Elephas maximus indicus: one gene and its partners. The protein of the gene in region 3 interacts with the protein of the main gene of each other region in a pairwise test. Links are inferred from orthologs where the notes say so. Each region holds a gene or a part of one and is shown on either strand. Other genes may lie near its edges.

The links.
Region 1: the proteins of TOLLIP (region 3) and TOM1L2 interact in binary tests that used the Homo sapiens proteins (3 or more experiments, as listed by UniProt). The link is inferred for Elephas maximus indicus from reciprocal best matches to the Homo sapiens genes TOLLIP and TOM1L2.
Region 2: the proteins of TOLLIP (region 3) and ODAM interact in a two-hybrid assay, tested with the Homo sapiens proteins (2 studies listed by BioGRID and IntAct). The two-hybrid records come from large-scale screens. The link is inferred for Elephas maximus indicus from reciprocal best matches to the Homo sapiens genes TOLLIP and ODAM.

The regions. Positions count from the first base shown.
Region 1 is NC_064820.1:214,376,133-214,383,658, reverse strand, and holds the start of TOM1L2 (TOM1-like protein 2), read right to left. Parts: upstream 3,427-7,526; 5' UTR 3,337-3,426; coding exon 3,285-3,336; intron 1-3,284. UniProt on the Homo sapiens protein: Acts as a MYO6/Myosin VI adapter protein that targets myosin VI to endocytic structures. May also play a role in recruiting clathrin to endosomes. May regulate growth factor-induced mitogenic signaling.
Region 2 is NC_064823.1:87,837,910-87,845,320, forward strand, and holds the start of ODAM (odontogenic ameloblast-associated protein), read right to left. Parts: upstream 3,427-7,411; 5' UTR 3,365-3,426; intron 3,089-3,364; 5' UTR 3,074-3,088; coding exon 3,023-3,073; intron 2,939-3,022; coding exon 2,897-2,938; intron 2,336-2,896; coding exon 2,288-2,335; intron 1,669-2,287; coding exon 1,435-1,668; intron 831-1,434; coding exon 783-830; intron 1-782. UniProt on the Homo sapiens protein: Tooth-associated epithelia protein that probably plays a role in odontogenesis, the complex process that results in the initiation and generation of the tooth. May be incorporated in the enamel matrix at the end of mineralization process.
Region 3 is NC_064825.1:136,634,577-136,642,735, reverse strand, and holds the start of TOLLIP (toll-interacting protein), read right to left. Parts: upstream 3,196-8,159; 5' UTR 3,058-3,195; coding exon 3,025-3,057; intron 1-3,024. UniProt on the Homo sapiens protein: Component of the signaling pathway of IL-1 and Toll-like receptors. Inhibits cell activation by microbial products. Recruits IRAK1 to the IL-1 receptor complex. Inhibits IRAK1 phosphorylation and kinase activity.

The DNA.
Region 1 (7,526 bases), on a different chromosome or scaffold from region 3:
AAGACCAGGTATGAAATCCCAGCTTTCTCTTGCCAGCTGAACAGTCTTCAGCAGGTCCTTGCACTCGCTGAGGCTGTCTCCTCCTCTCTAAAGTAGAAAGGACAATAAAACTTGCTTTACAGAGCAGCTGGAAGGAGCAAGTGATGGCAGTGGAATTGCTCTGTGAAAGCCAGAGCTGCTGTCTTTAATCTTACCTTTGTTGTTCTTTTATTTCTGTGTTCCCCTCCCCCCCCACAGGTGGCATATAAAACAACAACAACAACAAAATTGTCATCCAGTTGAGTCCTACTCATGGCAACCCCACAAGTGTCAGAGTAGAGCTGTGCTCCACAGGGTTGTCAACACCTGTGATCTTTCAGAAGCAACTCACCAGGCCTTTCTTCCGAGGCACCTCTGGGTAGATTTGAACCTCCAACCTTTCAGTTAATAGACAAGCATATTACCCATTTGCACCACCCGGTCGAGTTGATTCTGACTCATAGTGACCTTATATGACAGGATAGAACTGCACCATAGGTTTCCAAGAAGTAGCTGGTAGACTCGAACTGCTGACCTTTTGGTTACCAGCTGTAATTCTTAACTACTGCACCACCAGTAGGTGACATATAAACCTGCTGCTGTCAAGTCAATTCCAACTCATAGTGACCCTGTAGGACAGAGCAGAACTGCCCCATAGGGTTTCCAAGGCTGTAATCTTTATGGAAGCAGATTGTCACGTCTTTTTCCTACAGAGCGGCTTGTGGGTTCAAACAGCCAATCCTTCCATTCGCAGCCAAGCACTTTAACCACCGCACCACCAGAGCTCCTGAGGTGGCAAAGGGGCATACTTAACACCCACTTAGTTGATATTACCATCACAAAAAAAACAAAAATTACCATCACATGCAGTCTTTAATGAGTGATGCTGCCTCCCTGGCACATACTTTTAATACTAAGGTGTCATGAAAATCACATTTACATCTTTGTCACAACAGTATAGACTGAATATACATTAGAATGTCACTCTGTCCTCTAACCATTTATCTGAACTGAACTGAGTTTTCTCAGTTGAGATAACTGGTTAGAGGACAGAGTGAAGAGCTGGTGCCCACTGCCTGTCTGCTCACCCTCTCCCCCACTGAGGTGCCACTGTGAGCACACTTATCCAGCCAGCAGTCTCTCCACTGCTGACCCCCAGGACCCAGGTCTCTCAGGCCCCTGTGTCACTGAGGAACCTTCACTCTCTTTATGGTCAAATGTCTCTTAGAAGGGATGGTAGACTCTGGAGCCTAGATGGGTACTTTCCTTCACAGATAACAGATTGGCCAGTAGTTTTTCCATATCCCATCTACATAAGAACAGTCAACCCTGACTTAATCATTCTCTTATTAACAGCGACAACTAATTTATTGAGCCTCTATTGTGTTCCAGGTACTATGCTAAGTGTTTCAATACATTATCTCACTTAATCCTCATTACTCTGTGAGTTTTAGTCTCCCACTCTCTTTATTGCTCTCTTTTTCTCTTTCTCTCAACAATTAAGCAATCTAAGGCTAGAAGGGTTAAAAACTTTTCTTGAATCACACAGCCAATAAATGGGCAGGATCAAAATTAAACTCAGGTCTTCCTGACAGAAGCATCCATGCTTTCCACTTCCTTTTTATCCTACACCCATTATATTGCTATATTTTAAAATCTCCTTTACCTTATATCCTTCATTAACTACCATGACATTTCAAAAGTGTGTAACTTCCTATTATAAAGGAGACAAAAAATTAAAAAAAAATTCCTTATTTACTTGCTCCCTCCATGAGCTGGCTGGAATTCAACACCCATCTGCACAGTGAGTTTGTAGAATACAGTTGAATGAAAGAGCCCCTGAGGAAAGTGGAAAAGGCAATGAGGAAGAAGAAAGGTGGGTGAGAGGCACTCAGTGGGACCAAGAGGTAAAGTGTCATAAAGTTGGGAAAAGTCTCTTCCAGGGCCCAATGTCCATCATCCTTTTAAAAGACACTTCACCAGAAAGGAAAGTGAGGTTCCCAAATGCCAGTTAACCAACAGGAGAGGCCTCTAAAATTTCACAGATCCCACTAAAAGCTGGAAATTCATAAGCAAAACAGGAAATAAATCACTACTGCCTAAACCAGTCAGACCCATACGGACAACAAAGGTCCCTGCTCATAAAAGACGTTTTACCGGTCCTTCCACCAACCAGGAGGCACCCAGTTTGAAAAGATACTAAGCAACATTCTTTACTGATCACTTAACATAAGGTCCTGTCTTGATGAAAGGCAAGTTGTTCTTTTAGTAGGGAAATCCCACATGGTAGCCACTTCAGTGCTCTTTCACCTACTCCTTGGGCTTTCCTTATCCAGGATACTAGTCGCCTCTGGTGCTCCTTTCCAGATGCCCACAGCTCCACTACAGGATTAACAAGAACCCCCCATGCCACCAAAAGATTTCAGCATTAGCAAATTTAATATAGCAGGGAGCAATTGCAATGTGCAGAGATTACCACAAGGAATATCAAAACTTTAGAACCTGGAAGGACCTAGCACATTTCACCTCCAAACACCTCATTTGACAGACAGGGAAACTTAAACCAGAAACGGTGGTGACTGCACAAGGTCATCTGTAAAGTCACTGGCAAAGCCAGTACTGGAGTCCAGGCTTCCTGACTCCCAGACCAGGGCTCTTATCATTAAATGACACAGGCTCCCTCTTTCCCGGGAGACTCTGCAGGCACGCCACGCCTGCCAGGACAAGCACACCCTACGAATCCCCATTCCAAACCTCTACAGCCTTGCTGAGTAGCAGCTCAAATTAGAAAGTCTTAGGGCAGAGTGCCCACTCTGAGGGCTGCTGGAACTGGAACAGGGGACAAGGATGGAGAGAGACGCGGGGGCGGGGTGCTACCGCGGTGACATCCCACAGGGGCTGGGAAAACTGGGTCCTAGGGGCAGTGGCGGCGAGACTGTTGGCTGGATCGGATGCTCACAGTGGCACCTCCTAATGGGGGAGGCAGTGAGCAGACAAGCAGTTGGCAGCCGCTCTAGAAGAGCCAGGAAGGGCTGGGCCCTGACGGGTAGGAACGCGCGGAGCATCCTGAGACCGAGCCGGTTCTCAGGGGCGCTGCCTAGCAGCATGCACCGGTGCCGGGCAAAGGCCAGCCGACCAGGATGCTCCGCCCGCCGACCAGAATGCCAGGTTCACCGTGAGGTGGCACGGGCGCCCGGCAGGGGCCGCGGCCCTCGCCAGCTCCAGTCCGCCGCCGCCGCCGCTCCCGCCCCCACGCGCGGCCTTACCGAGACACTGCCCCACCGGGGTACTGAACGGGTTCCCCAGGAGGAACTCCATCTTGGGTGGGGAGCCGGCTAAGGCCGTGTCTGCTGCCGCGGTCTCCGCTGTCCCCCAGTGTTGCTCCGGACCTGACTGACACTTGCCCCCGCCCCACCCTCAGGAACGTCGAGCCCCGGGCCCTCAACCCCACCCCCTTGTCGCTTCCCTATTGGGCAACGCCTGCGCAGCCCTCCTCTGACTGGCCTTACGTCCTCAGCGAAGCCCCACCTACCCCGCGGCTAGCGATTGGGCCGAAGAGCCAGGAGTCCCCGTCGGGCGTAGCGGCATCCCCCTTTGCCCGCCTCCGAACGTTAGGTTTTCCATTTTGATTCATCTAGATGTTGGTCAATCTAGAAAGTCCTTATATTATTGGATAAAATATGAGTCAATCATCCATCTAGGGGGCGGAGAGGAGGTGAAGCTAGGAAAATCCCCGCCCATAGAGCGTGCTGATTGGAGAGACGTTTGTTTTGTCTGCGCTTGGTTGGTGTGAGGAATATTTCCCCGCCTAGAAATTGGGTCAAGTGACCCGTCAACTTTCACCCAGGATGTCTACCTTTTGACTTCCCATAGCAACCGAGTGGCTGCGCTTGGTTCCCCTAGCAACCGGGCGGTGAGTCTGCTGAGTGGAGACAGCCCCGTAGTCGGTACCTGGAAAGGTGAGAGCGGGCAACTGCAACTCCGAGAAACCTCGAAGGGGCCAGACTGCGCCCCCTTTATGACTCTTTTCTGTGACCTTTTTCTCTGAATTAGCACACAGATCCCGTGCTTTTCAGGCCTTCGGATGAGTAAGAAATTGCTAAAGAAGCATCTCCTTAGGCATGAGCAGAAGGGATTTTTAAGGGAGGAATTGTTACATCCTCCCCGCCCCTTAGCCGTATCTCTTTCACAGAAAGAGAGGTATCCAGTCCACTGATAACTTCCTCCAGACGCCTTAACTCTCACCAAACTGTTTCATATTTTTATTCTTCATTCCAGTGCTGTATTATTAATGGGCTTTTATTAGGAATATAGATACCTGGGTTCCATGTTTATCTCTCTCAGTAGCTCATTGTAAGACTTTGGACCAGTTCCTTCCTCTACCAGAGTCACAGTTTCCCTGTCTGGGGAATAGAGACATTCGGATTCCCTTCTCTAATGGCCCCCAGAGCTGGCATGTAATTAAATAATGCATGTGCACTTAGCACTCAGTAAAATGGTTGATTTTCTTCCTATTAAGTCATGGCCAATAAACCAAAACCAAACCAAACCCATTGCTGTCTAGTCGATTCTGATTCATAGCGACCCTATAGGACAGAGTAGAACTGCCTCATAGAGTTTCCAAGGAGCGCCTGGTGGATTTGAACTGCCGACCTTTTGGTTAGCAGCTATAGCTCTTAACCGCTATGCCACCAGGGTTTCCAAGTCATGGCCAATAGGGGTTATATATTTTATATCCAATTGATCCCAGGTTGTTGTTTCCCAAGATAATTCTGGATCTGTATCTCTGTGAGGAGGCTACTCCATTGACAGTGGTGTAAAGTCCTTCACTGCTTTTCCTACTTACTACGTCTGGTCTTCACCAACAACTCTATCAGCAGGCAAACTAAAAGGCAAACCAGGTTGGGTAGTAAATTACTATAAATTACTGCAAATCACTCTGGCTGCAGTACTGAGATTGGTAAGTGTAGTGAGGCCTTTATCTTACTGTGTTTGCATCTTTGCGCTGACCCAAGAACAGGTGAGAAATCAATGTCACTGTGACAATGATAGACCACAGTGCCCCAGGTACGGTTGAGTAGAGATTAAGAAAATGGTCTCTGGAGTCATAGTCTCCTGCCTCTGCCATATAGTAGGTGTGTAAACTTGGCAAGTTACTTAACCTTTCTAACCAGGTCCAGCCTTTTTATCTGGAAACTGGAGATGATTACTCTTTCATATAAATTAAGTTCATAGAGATCTCTCACATTCACATCATCTCTCAGCTTACTACTCTTGCCACTCTCAGTACTGCAGCCAGAGTGAGCTTCTTAAACTTAAAATCTGACCATGTCACTGCACTTATGAAACCCTAGGAGCTTCCCAGGGGTTGTAGGATAGTAATAAAACTCCTGCAGCCTTTTCAACTTAACATCACTCCAGCCAAAGTGGAACAGGTCTTGTTCTCTCCCACCTCAGGGCTCCCACCATGCAGTTCCCTCTTCCTTCCTGCCTTTCCAATCTCAGCCCTGTCTCCTCTGGCCAGGCCAGGTGTCCCTAACGTATGCTCCCCTACTTCCTATTCTGACAAACTTGTCATAATTATAAGTAAATCTTTCTACGATTATTTGATTCATGTGTGAAACAGAGGTAAGAAGATCTGTCCATGTCATTTATGGCACATAGTAGGTACTCAGTAAACACATGTGAGCTAAATGAATGGCCACGTATTGAGTCCATTCCCAGCCAGCAACTTGGCATGCATTGCTTCTTTTAATCCTCATAAGCAAACATAAGAGGCAGGAACAGATGGGAAATTGAAGGTTTAGACAGGTGAAGTGAGTTGCCAAAGATTGCACGGACAGGATTCAAACTCTGCCTTGGTGTGCTTAACAAATAAGGACATAACAACTATACCACACTGCATAGCAATAGCTAGGCTTGACTGAAAGCAAGCTTGGCATATCACATGTTCCGGGCCTTGATAAAGAGAGAGTGATGAGAAGTCAGTCAAATTTTTGAAATCAGGATTAAAAACCATTTCCCAAAGTAGAGCACCTTTCTTTGAAAAAGCACAAACACTTTGAGGATGACATCTGTCTAACACAGCAAAGGCAAGTTGGTGGGAAGTTATGGGAAAACTGCTTCAGAAAAGTGGAGAAATGGAGAGAAGCCAAGGACTAGAAACACCTCTAAGGAGGAGGAGCCAGTGTTGAGAGCTTGGAGAAAGTGGGAAGAAAGGGATCAAAGTTTTGGAGAATGGAAGACCCAGGTTGAGGGGGCAGGTATGTCTCCTCCCAGGGCAGAAGGGAAGGATGCAGAAGGATAAAAGGCACAGGGACATTTGATCATGGACTACCTGTGAATGGAGAGCACATCATTGCATGAGCTGCATACAAGTGGATGTGGGGAGGCAGGAGGGCAGCCAGGCAGTAGATGCCTCCAGGATCAGGTGGCAGGTTTGCCGGGCCCACTCTGGGTTTGTGGTGGACACCACCTTCCAACGTCAGGAGTCTCTCTGGCAGGCTCAGTGGAGAGAGCAGAGGGCAGGGGACTCCAGGTCAAAGACCAACAGAACAAGAGGTTTGGGGGGCCCCAGAGGCAAAGTAGAAGGTAAAGCCAGCAGGGAGGTGAAAAGCTGGGAAGCCATGGTGGAAAGTACAGGGGGAGGATGGAGTTTCCATAGGGTTCAAGAGGCCACCCAGGGAGTTTCCAGCAGACTGCTGGAGAATGTGCCTTCACGGAGGGCCCAGCCCTTCCAGATGTCCTTGCCAAGGGGGTAGGGGGTAATGAGAAAGAGGCCGAAGCATCCCCATGTTTCCAGGGCTGGGACTCTATCCAGCCAGGAATAGCAGTTGGAGATCAGCCTGCAGTGTGACTAACCGAACTCACAGATCCCCACTTCTTTGGCAGCTTCATCTCAGCCAAAGACCTTTGGACCATTAGCAACAGAAAACTACTTGAGTTAGCTTAAGAAAAACAAACAAAACCATTGCTGTCAAGTTGATTCACTCATAGTGACCCTATAGAACAGAATAGAACTGCCCTATAGAGTTTCCAGGGAGCGGCTGGTGGATTGGAACTTCTGACCTTTTGGTTAACAGCTGAGCTCTTAACCACTGTGCCATCAGCTTAAGGAAAAGAGGACTCAGTGTAAACAATCAGGAAACTCTCTTGGAACCACCAAGAGCCAGCTCACCGCCAGGCCTCCCAAGGACCTGGTATGCCAGCAGGAAGAAGGTAGCATCTGTCCGGCCTTTTGTCTCTCTCTTTCTGGACAATCTGTTTCTCTTCTCCTTGCTCATCTGCCTCATTCCCCCTGCTTTCTCTACTTCCATGTGCTAGGCCACCCCACAGCTTCCCAGTTCCTCCCAGGGCAAGCAGTTCACTCTTACAGGTGCACTCAGCCCACAGCCCCATGTCCACCCTTCTTAGAGGGATCTATGGGGTTAGATGCTCAGAGCAGGGGGCTTCAGTCTGGTAAGGAACACAGTCAGAACATAGTGCCCAGAAGCCTGAGCAAGGATGGA
Region 2 (7,411 bases), on a different chromosome or scaffold from region 3:
AAAAAAAATTGGATCCGTGGTGGCACAATGGTTAAGACTTATGGCTGCTGTCAAAAGGGCGGTAGTTAGAATCTACCAGCTGCCCTTTGGAATATGGGATAGTTCTACTCAGTCCTATAGGGTCCCTGTGAGTTGGAATTAACTCTATGGCAATGGGTTAACAGTTCATGATCCTTGTTTTCTGAACCTAGGATATTATAAAATTGACTACCAAATGCTTGAAGATTTTTTATACTAATATAGTGATTCTACTAGCTTGCATTAATTTTTCTTAGATTCTCTAATGGAAATCACTACCATTTGATAGTAAAATGCAGAATTTAATTGATAATATACAAGAACCTAGAAAAGTTTTAACCTGAATTTCATAACAGCCAGAAAATACGGGCAAATGCTCTCATGTCTAAATATTGTACAATGCCAGTTTAATCCATCTACCTCTAAAACAAAATTTAGGGTTGAGCAAACAGCCCATGGACTAATACTCTTGAGTTGTTTCCAAATGCCAACACTTTTGGTGCAGAGAAGGCATGACATAGGGCTTAGTGAGCTCCTCTATTTCCAACATAGCAATGCCTTGGAAGCCCAAGAGCCCTGGGGACTCCCTAGATGCGCTCAATTCAGGAACTGTTACTAGTGACTAACTAATGCTAGCCCAGCAATGATGGTACCCAGATAGTGATATCATTATATGGCTTTTATAGTCTTGTAATAGGAATCAGGGCTGAAATATAAAATAAAACATTCAGAACCATCTCTCCAGTGGCATACTATTCATTTACCTGTGCCTGCTCTTGGGGCAATTTGAAGGAGACCACATAAGGCATCACCTGCCAAGAAAGGAATCATAAAAAAGTCATACTTGACCATCAGAATTTATGGGTTTCTTTTCATAGACCTATCCATAGAAATTTATCATCTGTATTACCAGACTTGACGACAATGAAAGGTCGTACACTATATGTACCATTGTTGATGCAAATTGCTTTTGCAGCTTAGATGAAATATCCTGAATGTTCTTCTCCAAAACATAAACACTTCTGATTTGTGGTTTGTGATCCAAGAATAGCTAGCATGAACAGTATTTTTCATGTTAGGAATAAAAAAGATAAGGAAGTACTTGTGGGACAGTGGTTAAGTTCACGGTGAAGTCAGCGGTTCAAACCCGGGAGGCCATGGTTAAGTGTACTCTGTGACTCCAAAGGAGAAAGATGTGGCTGTCTGCTTCTGTAAAGATTACAGCCTTGGAAACCCTATAGGGCAGTTTTACTCTGTCCTGTAGGATTACTATGAGTCCGAATTGACTTGACAACATATTATGAGAAAAAAGTCTTTTTCGAAAACTCCTTTCTTACTTCATGTTTGTACTCACTTTAACAGTCAATGTATCTCTATCTCACTTCAGAACAAAAAGATAGAAAAGTCCCAACTTACGCGATTAGGGCCCTGTTGGGTCTGCAGTGGTATTTGAGCCTGTGAGGGGTCTAGCTGGGCCCACTGAGGTCCTTGGGCAAAATTGGCTTGTCCTGGGAAAGGTACCTGATTTGGGAACAGTCCAACAAATTGATCTAGGGTTGGCAAAGAGACCTGGGACAGTCCAGGAGCTTGAGCCTGCTGTCGATGTTGCAGGATCCCAGAGAAAGGAGGAGTCAATGAATTAAATGGGCCCTGGAAGGACACAAAGGAAAGAAAGTGTTTTCTTTCATGTCAAAAAGAACTTAAAAACCATCCCGAGCAACAAAGAGTCACAATGTAAGCAGTTTCTATATTTCTAGTTATGCTAAAAAAAAAAAAAAAAAAAATTATGCTACATTATAAAAAAAGAAAAGCAAATTGATAGATTTTGAGCCATGCAAATAACAAGAAAAAAAAAAATAACAAGAGGCACAGCTAAATTCCCAATGCTTGTGAGAAATAGAGGGTAGAATGAGTGGATAAAAGAACACAGATTCTGCAGTTTCCAGACTGGTTTCAAAACTTGTTTCCCCCCCCCCCCGCACTGGGCAGCTGGGCATGACTTTAGGTAAAACAGTTCATTGAATTATCTCACAGGATTGTTGTGAGAATTACTGCCTGGCATATACAAAGTCCTCAATAAAGAAATGTTAATCAGATTCTAATTTCTCACTTTACTCTTCAGTCATAAGAATATGTGGGATAAATTCATAACTTTAATAATCAAGATTTCAAAATGGAATCAGAGAACATTTTCTTCTCATATAAATCCTCACACGAAATGAAGAGTAGAAAAAGATACCCCTTAAAATAATTACTGAGATAAAGGTACCTGAAACTGTAGTGGCAAAAGCCGAGCATTATTAAGATTCAGAAGTAGCTAGAAAGGGAAAGATGATACGAAAATAAGATTATGACACATGCTAACACTGTTAAGAACTATGTTTACCACAAATACAGCGCAAGTCATAACTGGTCGATCGGTTTCTTGTTACAAGTGAGACATTTTCTCATTAAGCTGACATAAAATTACAGTGATTAGAGGTTAGAGTTGAAAACAGGCCTGGCATTTAACAACCTCTCCCCTGCTACGTTTGAGACTATATGACGTTAGCCCACTCCAGGGCTTTAGTCAGTCATTTTACGCTCTTAAACACCTATATACTACACTTGTACTAGCTGCTGCTAGAATGAAAAGATATAAAAGCTCTTGTTTCTTCTATAAAGAATGTACAATCAGAGGAGGAAGGCAAAACTAAAATTGTAGAAATGACCTTTATACAAAGCAAGCATGAAAATTGAAAATGTGTTTGGATATGCATAAAAGCTGGTAGATAGGAATCGAAGATAAATCAAGTGAAGGCTCTTTATCTCTTCCCCACCAGGTTTCCAAAAAAAACCCAAAAAAAAAGTAGAGATTGTTTTAAGTATTTCAACTAACCTCATTGCTGTTGCTTGCTGACACAAGGCGCTGTGGGACAAGCTAAAAATAAAACCAGAAGTGGTAAAAGATGGGTTTGTTATAGGTTTTATAGCATAAGATCAGTTGTAGCATGAAATCACTTACTGGGGCTGCCAGTGTGGCTCCAAGGAGCCCAAGGAGAATTATTACTTTCATTTTCAGATGAAATACCTAGAAAATAAGTTAATGTGATAATTAGCTTTAAAAAGACTCTCTACTAAAAAAATCTCTATAGTAATAAAATTAGTTGATACTGTTCAGAGGACTAATTTACTTATATTTTAGAATTTAAGTTAATTTAAATTTAATTTAGAATTTAAAATGAAAAAGACATATTTTTAATCTCTAAAACAGAACTTATTGTTTTTTCCAGAACAGCTGTTTACTAAAAACCAAGTTGTTTGCCTGTCTTTTCAGCTTAACCAAATGACTCATTTAGAGACATACTGTACAGTTGAATAGGTTAGTGAATAAGATCAACTCATTCCTGGTGCTGCTCTACACTGATGGAGTGGGTCATTCAGGCAATGGGAGGCTCAAGATGGGGGTCAACCAACTGGATCCTTAATATGAAAGAAACTTAATGTCTATATTTAAAAAGTACTACAATAAAGATCTGACAACACCAGTCCAATACCAAATAATCTTAGAAGTCTAATACTGAATTAACATTTTTCTAATTTAGAGAAATAGATTAAAACTTTAAATTGTTATATTTATTTATAGTGTAAACTGCCCAAATATTTTATTGCTTGCCTTCTAGATATGAAAATTCCTGCCCCAGTTCAAATCACTGACCTAAATGAATGTTTAAAATTTAGGGTGACCTTAATAGTCTATCTTGCAGAGTTCATTGATTTTGGTTCTTAAAACTATGGAAGCAAAATCTGATCTCTTACCTTACTTCTTGGCCTATGAAGAGATATCTAGAACTGTGCAAGATCTGGGTTCTTTTTATCTTTCAGCTTAGCTTACTTTTTAAAACCCATCTTCAGAAAAAAAGGACCAATCATTTTTTCAAAGGGACTAGTGATTCAGTGGGTTTCAGACAGTGACTTAGCTAATAACCCCTTTCCTAATCATTTAGGCGGTATATGGATACCCACACTTTTAGTAATGTTATTAAATTATCCCCTGAGAAATGTTTTGTTGTGATCATTCCTCACCTCTGCCTTGGTGATGACTAACCCTTCTGGAGTGATTTTGTTCTACTCCATCTTTTAAATTCTTAAAATGAATACCTTAACATAGTAACTTTTAAGACCTTTATTAAATTGAAGGATAAAGGGTGACTATTTTTATTTCAAGAGTAAAATACAGAATTACTCAACATAAGGTGTAGATCTAAAAGACAAAATTTCAAAATCTAGTTAGGGAACAGTAAAGGTTCTTTAATTCTTCAACATTGGGTTGAGTAAATACTAGCTAATTTCATTTAGATTTGACCCTGAAAACATTAGTGGATCTCCCTCTACCTATAGAATGAAATCCTAAAAAGAATTACTAGATTTCTATGTCTAGGAAATGTGTATCTGCACGTAAGCATGCCAACTGTGAATGAATAATAAATATAAAGAAGGATGCTGTACAATTTTTAGTGATGAGTAAATGTTTTCTATTTCAAAAATTCCCTTTTGCTAAATATAATTTTAGCATTTAAATTACAATGAATTATTACTGTCTTTAAATTGTCATTATTTAAATTACTGTCATAAAGGGATTTTTTTTCCCCTCTTGTTCGTTGTTGTTAATATTGACCCCACTCTAATGGATCACAAGGGTTGTGATAATGTTACCAATTCATTTCATTGTGGAATAATTCTTTTGGCTATTTTAATCTTAAAAAACTAATATTGGTCTTGTCATGCTGTTCAGAAGGGCAAAACTAGGTGAATTTGCTTTCCTTCATGGGATTAGACATTTCTTAGTAGCTTCATGATCATTAATGTTAAAATGACTATATTATTTGTCATTCATCTAGTCAAACAACACAAGATAAATATCATTTAAAATAAATAGATCTTTTTCTTACAAAAGAAGAGGAACTTGGATTTTATATCTTAGAAGGGAGTTTTCCCTGAGATTTATGAAAGCTGTGTTTTTAGTTTGTCCATAACAGTTAAACGACCCTTGATGTTGATGGCATTTTAAGAAAAGCTGGATGGTTAATGTAACCATTTATTGCCTGGAAAATCCAGTAGACTGGCTGACTGGCTAAACTAGATAGATGTCTATATTGCCTGATTTTATACATTTAGTTATTTGTGACTAATGACCTTGGTCTAGTCTGAATACTGTTAACTTTTCTTCACCATAAATTCTCAGTCTCCTGAGATTTCCTACTGCATTTTCAGCTTCTTAGGTAGCTAACCTCACAGCTGAGCCAGAAAGGTGTTAGGGCCAAGCACTGAAAAAGTCAGGAACTATATTAAAGAGCCAAAAGAGTGTCAACTTAAAAATTATCCTGGTGATGAATAGTTGCATCTAGCTACCTTCCTCAAATCTGATGGTAGTTGGAAGATTTCAGTCATTGTTTTCTTTTTTTTTCATTACTTGCGTATTCTAGAGAATAACAGTTGAAGCCCTCCAGGTGTACACGCTGAAGTGGAAAATAGTTGTCTATACCAGAAGAAATGACCTTCATGGTTGATAGCTTCCAACTCCGAGTGGAGGGCAAGTTATCTCTGGGTAGGAAAGGAAGTCACAGGAAGCTGCCCTTTAATTCTTATCACGTTGTGCCAAATATACTTGTTTCCCCCATTCACCTGTGTTGAACTTACTCAGTTTTCTATTCCCGTGTCATTCACCCAGTAGGTATGCCACTGAGTTTTGTTAAGTAAATGTCTTCATTCAGGAAAGGTGGTATAAATCTAGAGCAAGGTCAGCCTATATGTATTAAGGTGCAGGGACACAAGATGAGGAAATCCGGAACCAGATAATATCGCTATGACTTTTCTTTTAGATCAATTATCAGAATACCCGGTACCCATTTATTCAAAATAAAAGTACAAAAACATTTAAATGCCAAGTATGAGTAACTGTTGGATCACGTACCATTGAAAATACCCATATGTTTGCTCTGTCACAATAACATAAATGGTAAAAATTAAACAACAATGACTTCTAAATCAACCCTTTCAAAATATTATTTCCACTTTTTTTTTTTTACTTCAACCTGAAAAATCAGCCAAGAGGCTTACTAAGGACCAGTCTGAAGTAGATTAACCTCCTGTGGATCCAGATAACTAAATCTGAGTCCTAAATCTCAGCCCTACTGACCGCTTATAATAATAGTTTTCTGGCATATGAGCTATAATTTTTCCCGGAATCCCTGGTTACCCACTAATGTAGGCAGGATACATATAACACCCCCACTTTTCAGTGAGAAAAATGAGGTACAGAAGGGTTAGTTAATTAATTAATTAAGGGAGCAAATAGCTTTTGCTTACAGTTCATATCCTTGCTAAGCATTGAGAACTTAACACTAGTAAAACAGACAAGGTTTCTGCCACCATCAAAATTACAATTGTTTCCACTGTCAAAAAAGTATCAGAATTGTGGATAGAATTCAGGTCTTCTGATTCTTAATCCAGTAGGCTTTCCAAAGCACAAAGTACTAAGTATATAATATAAATAAGTATATAATCTTAGATTATCAGATAATTTTACACCTTGGAAATCACTATCTTCCTCTGTATAAGGAGGAAAACAATCTTATAACATCTTTTAATTTAGTGCTGACTCTCCAATTCCAGTAGATTCTTAAATGCAAGGATAAGTTCACATTATTAAGGTAAAAATGTATGCGATTCTACATATTCTGTAAGATTAGTAAAGGAGTATTTTTCTAGAGGAAGACTAAGAAATATAAATTATTCTTCCCTGCAGGATAACAGGTACAAGCCACCTGCCACTGCTAAGCATTTGAAACTTAAATTTTCCACTATGATTTTTTTGGGGGGGAGGGGAAAATCTCTCAGTTTAGATATTTTAAGCCAACACAATTTCCCAATGAATATCTATCAATTTACAAGCAGAAAGTAAAAGATTGAAAACAAAGAGAACTTAACCCAGAACCCAGTGCCGTCGCAAGTTTAAAATTTTTACTACCCCATTACTACAGAAACTGAAGCACACACTTGTTTTTGAGGATATATTTAAATGTTTATTTGAAGTTTTATCTACAGTTTTGGGGAAATCTTTAGAGCAATTTCAACAGTGGAGGAAATTATAACAAAGGACCTAGAGGTCATTTTTGATAGTTACAACTTTCTCCTGTTAAATACAATGGACAATTTTACTGTATAACCAAGGTTTCTGTACACAAAAAGAATAGGAAAAAAAATCAAGTCTGTATTCTAGAGAGCATTCCTCAGAAAAATACTGCTGAAAAATTTTCCATTATATGTTTGTGAAATGCTACACATCACAGCGCTTTCTTAGAGCCCTGGTGGTCTAGTGGTTAAGAACTCGGCTGGAAAGTTCGGCAGTTCG
Region 3 (8,159 bases):
CGCGATCAACAACACTGGCTGAATGAGTAAGGGATACCTTTTCCAGTGGTGCTACAAGACTCGTTTTGAGGATGCCTTACACGGCCCTACAATGGCCCTAACACAGACCTAACATTACCGTCTGTTCACAGGTCAAGGAGGGCTCTTCTACGATAGCTGGACATCTACATGCGCTGTGCACCAACGGATGACCATCAACCCACGCAACTGTGTCACACACAGACACCAGCCTGTGCACCAACACACGGACATCAATCTACAGGACTGTGTCACACGCAGACACCAGCCTGTGCGCCAACTCACGGACATCAATCTACAGAACTGTGCCATACACAGACACCAGCCTGTGCACCAACGTACAGACATCAATCTACATGACTGCGTCACACAGACACCAGCCTGTGCGCCAACGTACAGACATCAATCTACATGACTGCGTCACACAGACACCAGCCTGTGCACCAACGTACAGACATCAATCTACATGACTGTGTCACACAAAGACAACAGCCTGTGCGCCAACACATGGACATCAATCTACAGGACTGTGTCACACACAGACACCAGCCTGTGTACCAACATCAATCTATATGACTGCATCACACAGACACCAGCCTGTGCACCAACACATGGACATCAATCTACATGACTGCATCACACACAGACACCAGCCTGTGCACCAACACACGGACATCAATCTACATGACTGCGTCACACACAGAAACCAGCCTGTGCGCCAACGCACGGACATCAGTCTACATGACTGCGTCAAACACAGACACCAGCCTGTGCACCAACACACAGACATCAGTCTACATGACTGCGTCACACACAGACACCAGCCTGTGCACCAGCACACGGACATCAATCTACAGGACTGTGTCACACACAGACACCAGCCTGTGCACCAACACACAGATATCAATCTACATGACTGCGTCACACACAGACACCAGGCTGTGCGCCAACGCACGGACATCAATCTACAGGACTGTGTCACACACAGACACCAGCCTGTGCGCCAACTCACGGACATCAATCTACAGGACTGTGTCACACGCAGACACCAGCCTGTGCGCCAGCACACGGACATCAATCTACATGACTGCGTCACACACAGACACCAGCCTGTGCACCAGCACACGGACATCAATCTACATGACTGCATCACACACAGACACCAGCCTGTGCACCAACGTACAGACATCAATCTACATGACTGTGTCACACACAGACACCAGCCTGTGCACCAACACACAGACATCAATCTACATGACTGTGTCACACACAGACACCAGCCTGTGAGCCAACGCACGGACATCAATCTACAGGACTGTGTCACACACAGACGCCAGCCTGTGCACCAACACACGGACATCAATCTACACGACTGTGTCACACACAGACGCCAGCCTGTGCACCAACGTACAGACATCAATCTACACGACTGTCACACACAGACACCAGCCTGTGCACCAACGTACAGACATCAATCTACAGGACTGTGCCACACAAAGACACCAGCCTGTGCACCAGTGTACGGACATCAATCTACACAACCGTGTTACACACAGACACTAGCCCCAGAAGCACTGTGGAAAGACATCAGACAAAAGCGTCACTACCTTGATGTCACATGTCCTACATACCTGAATCTTCTCTGAAGCCCCCAATTACTCATTACAGAACGTAGCTTATCTCAGTTTCATGTAGTCACAGAGCTTAATGACTGTTTCCAATCACCTCGGCGACAGGAACAGCTCAATTTATGCCAGGCACTGAGCTAGGCATTGTGCCTGTTTAAGCTCAGCCCAGCGGGAAGGGGGCCAGCTCCACACCCATGAGAGGAGCTCTAAGGACTGACCAGAAGTGCTGTCAGCCCGAGAACCTGGGTGGAAGACGGGCTGGTGACGGTGGCAAGGGGCCTTGGGACTGAGGTCAGTAAGGTTCCAAACAAGGGAGATAAGTTCCCGGGAGTGTAAACAGGTACAATGAGTCAGCCCTCACCCCACCACGTGAGGTAGGTCCTACTGCTCCAGACAAGGGAAATGAGTCCCCGGGAGGCTGAGAACACGTCCCAGGTGTATGAGACAAGCAAGAAAGTGACAGGGCAAGGAACTGGCCGAGCAGCCCCAGAAGCCCTGCTCAACCATTACACACACAGCTCTCGAGGACACAAAGATGGGAGCCTTAATTTAAAAGTCATGGTTCCCTTGCTTCTCTACCAGGCAGTTACGAAAAATGAGAAAACTGCAACCGGCCATCCCCCTGGAATTCCCTGTCCTGGCTGAAGACAAAGAGATGGCAACACTGACAATCAGAAGCAAGCCACAGATGCCCCTGCTGCCTCTGGAACCGCCCCACGCCCGGTTCGGTACGATGTCCGCCAGGCAGCTTACTTTCCCACTTTAAAAAGGCCCTGTGCCCCAAGACGGGCTTCTAACACGCCTGCGTCTTCCTTCCCAACTGGGAAAAAACGCTACACGAAAAGGGTTCTTTAACCAATGTCCAGCTTCAAGGGTGGGCGCCCGGACAACCCCGGCTCCCGCGAAGCTCCTCGGCCCCCGCCCAGCCCTGGACCTTCCGAGTGAAGCGGCACAACCACGACCTACAAGGACCAAACGCGACCCCCACGGCAGTTCTGCTCCGCTGTCTCGTCAGCGCTCGCCAGCGTGGCCGTCACAACCCGGGCCTCAGAGGACCGGCCTAACCCGGCGGGAGGCGGCCGCCGCCGGCCATTCACCCCCAGGGCGTCCCGGTCGGTCGGTCGGTCGGTCGGTCGGCGCCAGCCCTCCAGCGACGTCACCAACACCGCGGCGGGGAAGACGCCCCCCCTCAGGAGCAGGGCGCCCCTTCGCGGCGCTCGGTTCCCACCCTCCCATCTGCAACGGAGGAAACGGAGCTCTTGGGGGGGGCCGCCAACCGGAGGCCGCCGCTCTGCGCGGGGGAAGGGGCGCCTGAGGAGCGCCCGTCGCCGCTGAGGAGAGGGGCCCGCGCCCCGCCGCCCCCGCCGGGAGACCTCACCGGGCCGCGCTGCGTGCTGACGGTGGTCGCCATGGCGCTGCGGGCGGCTCCGCGCCTCGCCGACCCCAGAGCGGACCCGCCGGCGACCCTGCCGCCCCCGCCGGAGCCTGCGAAGCCGACGGTTGTCACCGCGAGACCGCAGCCCCAGTCAGCTGACGGCGGCCCGCCCCCGCCGCCGCCGCCGCACCGCGCACGCGCCCGGCCGCGCCCCCACTGCGCAGGCGCCGCGCCCGCCTCGCCCCTTCCGGCCGCCTGTCCGACCCGCGCTCCCAGCTCCGCGTGGGCCGGGCCTCGGCGGGCGCCTGCGCAGTCGCCGTCTCCTCCGGCCGGCCGGCTCCGCGAAATGGCTCCCGTCGCGGCCGTGCGCGCATGCCCAAGCCTGGGCGCGCCACCCGCGCCAGTGGCGTCTCACAGGCTCTCCCGCGGCGGGCAAAGGACCCGCTCCGCCTGACCCTACCCGGGCGGGGCCTCTCCCGTCTGCTGACAGGACTGAACAGCCGAGGGGCCTGCCGTCGTCCCGCGTGGCCCTGCAGGCGCCAAGAGCCGCCGAGCGGCAGCGTACCCCTCGAGGCGACCCCTGTGGACCGGCCCTGAGGGCGAACCGGCCCTGACCCGGAGGGTGAATCGGTCCTGAGGGTGGCCCGGCCCTGAGGGCGAACCGGCCCTGACCCGGAGGGTGAACCGGTCCTGAGGGTGGCCCGGCCCTGAGGGCGAACCGGCCCTGACCCGGAGAGTGAACCCTTCCTGAGGGTGGCCCGGCCCTGAGGGCGAACCGGCCCTGACCCGGAGGGCGAACCGGCCCTGACCCGGAGGGTGAACCGGTCCTGAGGGTGGCCCGGCCCTGAGGGCGAACCGGCCCTGACCTGGAGGGCGGACAGGAAACACGATGGAGTGACGAGGGGTGGCCCACACGGGGAGTCCTGTCAGCCGGGAACCTGGCGGCAGGGGCGGTGGGGGTCAGCAGGACTGCAGGGCTGAGGGGCCCAAAGGCCTCCAGAGGGGACTGCTCCCATTGAGGAATCGCTGAGTCGCAGGAACAGCAAGCCAGCCGGAGGTGGTCAGAAGTGCCAGTCATTACGGGGAAAATTCTCCCACTTGGGCAGGAGCCCAAAGCGAAAGACAGCAGCGGAGGGTCCTCACATGTGGCTAGAACCACCACCAGCAGGCGTGTGATCCTTCTTGGAGAAGGGAGAACTGTGGTGCTTAGTGGGCTGAGAACAAAACAGATGGCGATTCAGAAAGACATCATCTCAAGCACTCCATTTACTTTGAGGCTGCTGTGTCTGGGTGGAGGAGTATTAATATTTAACCCCCCCCCCCAAAAAAAAGAGCTGTAGGAGCCAAGCTAAAGGAGAGAGGAATGGGGGCTGACATACTTCAGCCGGCTTTGGAAAGTGGGTGGGCCACTTAAATAAATGGACAAGATAGAAGGTGTTCCCAAGAGAAGGAGCCTGAGACTGCTCTTCTATTTCTCTCCATCACTTCACAGCTAAATGGCTCAAAATATACTCTGAAAAAAAAAAAAAAAAATATATATATATATATACTCTGACTCCAATTTCTCTTCCTACATTCTCTCTGAAGCCCATTCCAGCCAGGCTTTTGCCCCCAGCCCCTTGACCCTTGTCAAGGTGTTCAGTGATCTCCATGTTGTTAGTGGTCAATTGCCAGTACTCATCTTTCTTGAGCTACAGCAGAATTGACACAGTCACTTCCTCCTAGAAATGCTTTCTATGCCCTCCTGGTATAAATGGCTGCCCAGCAGCACATTAACACTGGGTTAGGCTATCAAATGTCACACTTAAAAGGATAATTAGAGGCATTTAATGATTATTTTGGAGCCGTGGTGGCACGAAGCTTAAGTGCTTGGCTGCTAACTGAAAGGTCCTTGGTTCTAACCCACCAGCCACTCCATGGGAGAAAAGGCATGATGATCTGCTCCCATAAAGATTGTTGTTGGTAGGTGCCATCGAGTTGATTCCGATTCATAACAACGCTATGTACTACAGAAAACAGTGCCCGGTCCTGCAGCATCCTCTCAGTCATCGCTATGTTTGAGTCCATTGTTGCAATAACTGTGTCAGCCCATCTCGTTGAAGGTCTTCCACTTTTGCACTGACCCTCTATTTTACCAAGCATGATGTCCTTCTCAGGGAGTGGTGCCTCCTGATAACATGTCCAAAGGATATGAGACAAAGTCTCACCATCCTTGCTTCTAATGAGCACTCTAGTTGTACTTCTCCCACTCCAGGTTTGTTCGTTCTTCTGGCATTCCATGGTATAGTCAATATTCTTTGCCAACGCCATAATTCAAAGGCTTCAATTGACAGCACACAATAATGAAGATTTTTTACAAACGTACTAAACTCATTGCTATTGAGTCGATTCCAACTCATAGGGACCCTATAGGACAGAGTGGAACTGCCCATAGGGTTTTCAAGGAGCGGCTGGTGGATTCGAACTGCTGACCTTTTGGTTAGCAGCCAAACTCTTAACCACTGCACCACCAGGGCTCCGTACAAAAGTACAGATAGTGGTAAAGCAACCAACAAGGTATCTCATTGCTAGTGGGAATGTAAAATGGTACAGCCACTTTGGAAGACAGTCTGGTAGTATCTTATAAAGCTAAACATAGGCTTACCATTCAATTCAGTAATCACACTCCTAGGTATTTACCCAAGTGAGATGAAAACGTATGTCCATATTAAAACCTGAACATGAATGTTGTAGCGGCTTTATTCATAATTGCCAAAAATTGGAAGCAACCAAGATGTCCTTTAGTAGGTGAATGGATAAACAAACTGTGATACATCCATAAAAAAACAGGGGAACAAATTCAGCAATAAAAAGAAATGCTCTGTCAAGCCACAAAAAGACAGAGGAACCAGCTAGTGGACAGCACCATCCCTTGGGCTGAAGAGCTGATGTAAGGAAGTTGTTAGTACAATCAGTCTAGTGAGAGTGATGAGCCACCTGAGGAGAGCTGGGGCCTTGGGTGGGAAAGCACATCTCACTCTCTATAGGAGGGGAAGATTGATACAATTTTGCAATATACCATGCAGGAGAATGTATTTGGAGGGGCAACTGGAAAAAAAACAGTCCACCTCTTTTGCACCTGGACATCCACTTTTTTTTTTTTTTCTGGTGAAAAAATCTGGTGTTCCCAACACAGCAAAAATGCAGTCTCATCCTTTACCACATTTTTGTGGATGATGTCAATTAAGTCACATTACTACTTGGAGTAAAAATTGAAGCATTAGTTATCAAGAGTGTTTTGTTATTGAAAATTATAAACAGAAAATATAGCTGCAACATTCTCTATTGCTGTACCTGTTAATGAGGTCCAAGATGATAACCAAAGCTTCCTTCTGCTACCATTCATTTCACGTTCCCCTTATTCTCTGCCAAACACCTCAGCCGTATCGATCCTGAAGCTACTGGACATAAGGAATTCCTTTAAGGTCCACATAGAGCAGTGGTGTCACTAGGGTTGATATCACCCCACCCCCCACATGGACCAGACCATACAGAATCCTTGGTAATGTTTTTTATACTAATGTTACTTGTAAATTGTAATTCCCCTACGTCTTTGTTATCTGGTGCAGCTATAACAGAAATACCACAAGTGGATGGCTTTAACAAAGAGAAATTTATTCTCACAGTTTAGGAGGTTAGAAGTTCAAAATCAGGGTGCCAGGGGAAGGCTTTCTCTCTCTGTTGGCTCTGGGGGAAGGTCCTTGTCATGAATCTTCCCCAGTCAAGGAGCTTCTCAGTGCAGAGACGCCGGGTTGAGAGGACACGCTATTCTCCTGGCTCTTGTTTCTTGGTGGTATGAGGTCCCCATGTCTCTCTGCTCCCTTCTCTCTTTTATATCTCTAAAGAGATTGGTTTAAGACACAGCCTCATCTTGTAGACTGAGTTCTGCCTCATTAACATAACTGCCACTAATTCTACCTCATAACTGACTCGACGGCACTGGGTAACATAACAGAGGTAGGATTTATAACACACAGGAAAATCACATCAGATGACAAAATGGTGGACAATCGAACAATACTGGGAATCACCGCCTAGCCAAATTGATACACATTTGGGGTGAGCACAATTCAATCCATAAGACCATGTATCACTCCTTTTTTTTTTAAATTAGTACTTCATTGTCAAAAAAGTTATTGATACAGGCTCACAAATACTAAAATTACCACAATATTATAGCTAAAACACCAGCAAATTTGACAAAATCTCAACTATAAAAATGCTGGCAGCAAGGAAAACAGCAAAAGGAAGAATTGATGAAGTAAAAGAACTGAAGATTTCAAAGGGCAGCTCGAGAAGACAAAGTAAAGTATTATAATGACATGTGCGAAGAGCTGGAAATGGAAAACCAAAAGGGAAGAACACACCTGGAATTCACAGGCTGAAAGAACTGAAGAAAAAATTCAAGCCTAAAGTTGCAATAGTGAAGGATTCTATGGGGAAAATATTAAACGACCCAGGAAGCATCAAAAGAAGATGGGAGGAACACACAGAGTCATTGTACCAAAAAGAATTAGTCAATGTTCAACCATTTCAAGAGATAGCATATGATCGGGAACCGATAGTACTGAAGGAAGAAGTCCAAACTGCTCTGAAGGCATTGGCGAAAAACAAGGCTCCAGGAACTGATGGAATATCAATTGAGATGTCTCAACAAACAGATGCAGCGCTGGAGGTGCTCACTCGTCTATGCCAAGAAATATGGAAGACAGCTTCCTGACCAACTGACTGGAAGAGATCCATATTTATGCCCATTCCCAAAAAAGGTGATCCAACCGAATGAGGAAATTATAGAACAATATCATTAATATTACACACAAGCAAAGTTTTGCTGAAGATCATTCAAAAACGGCTGCAGCAGTATACGGACAGGAAACTGCCAGAAATTCAGGCCGCTTTCAGAAGAGGACGTGGAACCAGGGATATCATTGCTGATGTCAGATGGATCCTGGCTGAAAGCAGAGAATACCAGAAGGATGTTTACCTGTGTTTTATTGACTATGCAAAGGCATTCGACTGTGTGGATCATAACAAATTATGGATATCATTGTGAAGAATGGGAATTTCAGAACACTTAATTGTGCTCATGAGGAACCTTT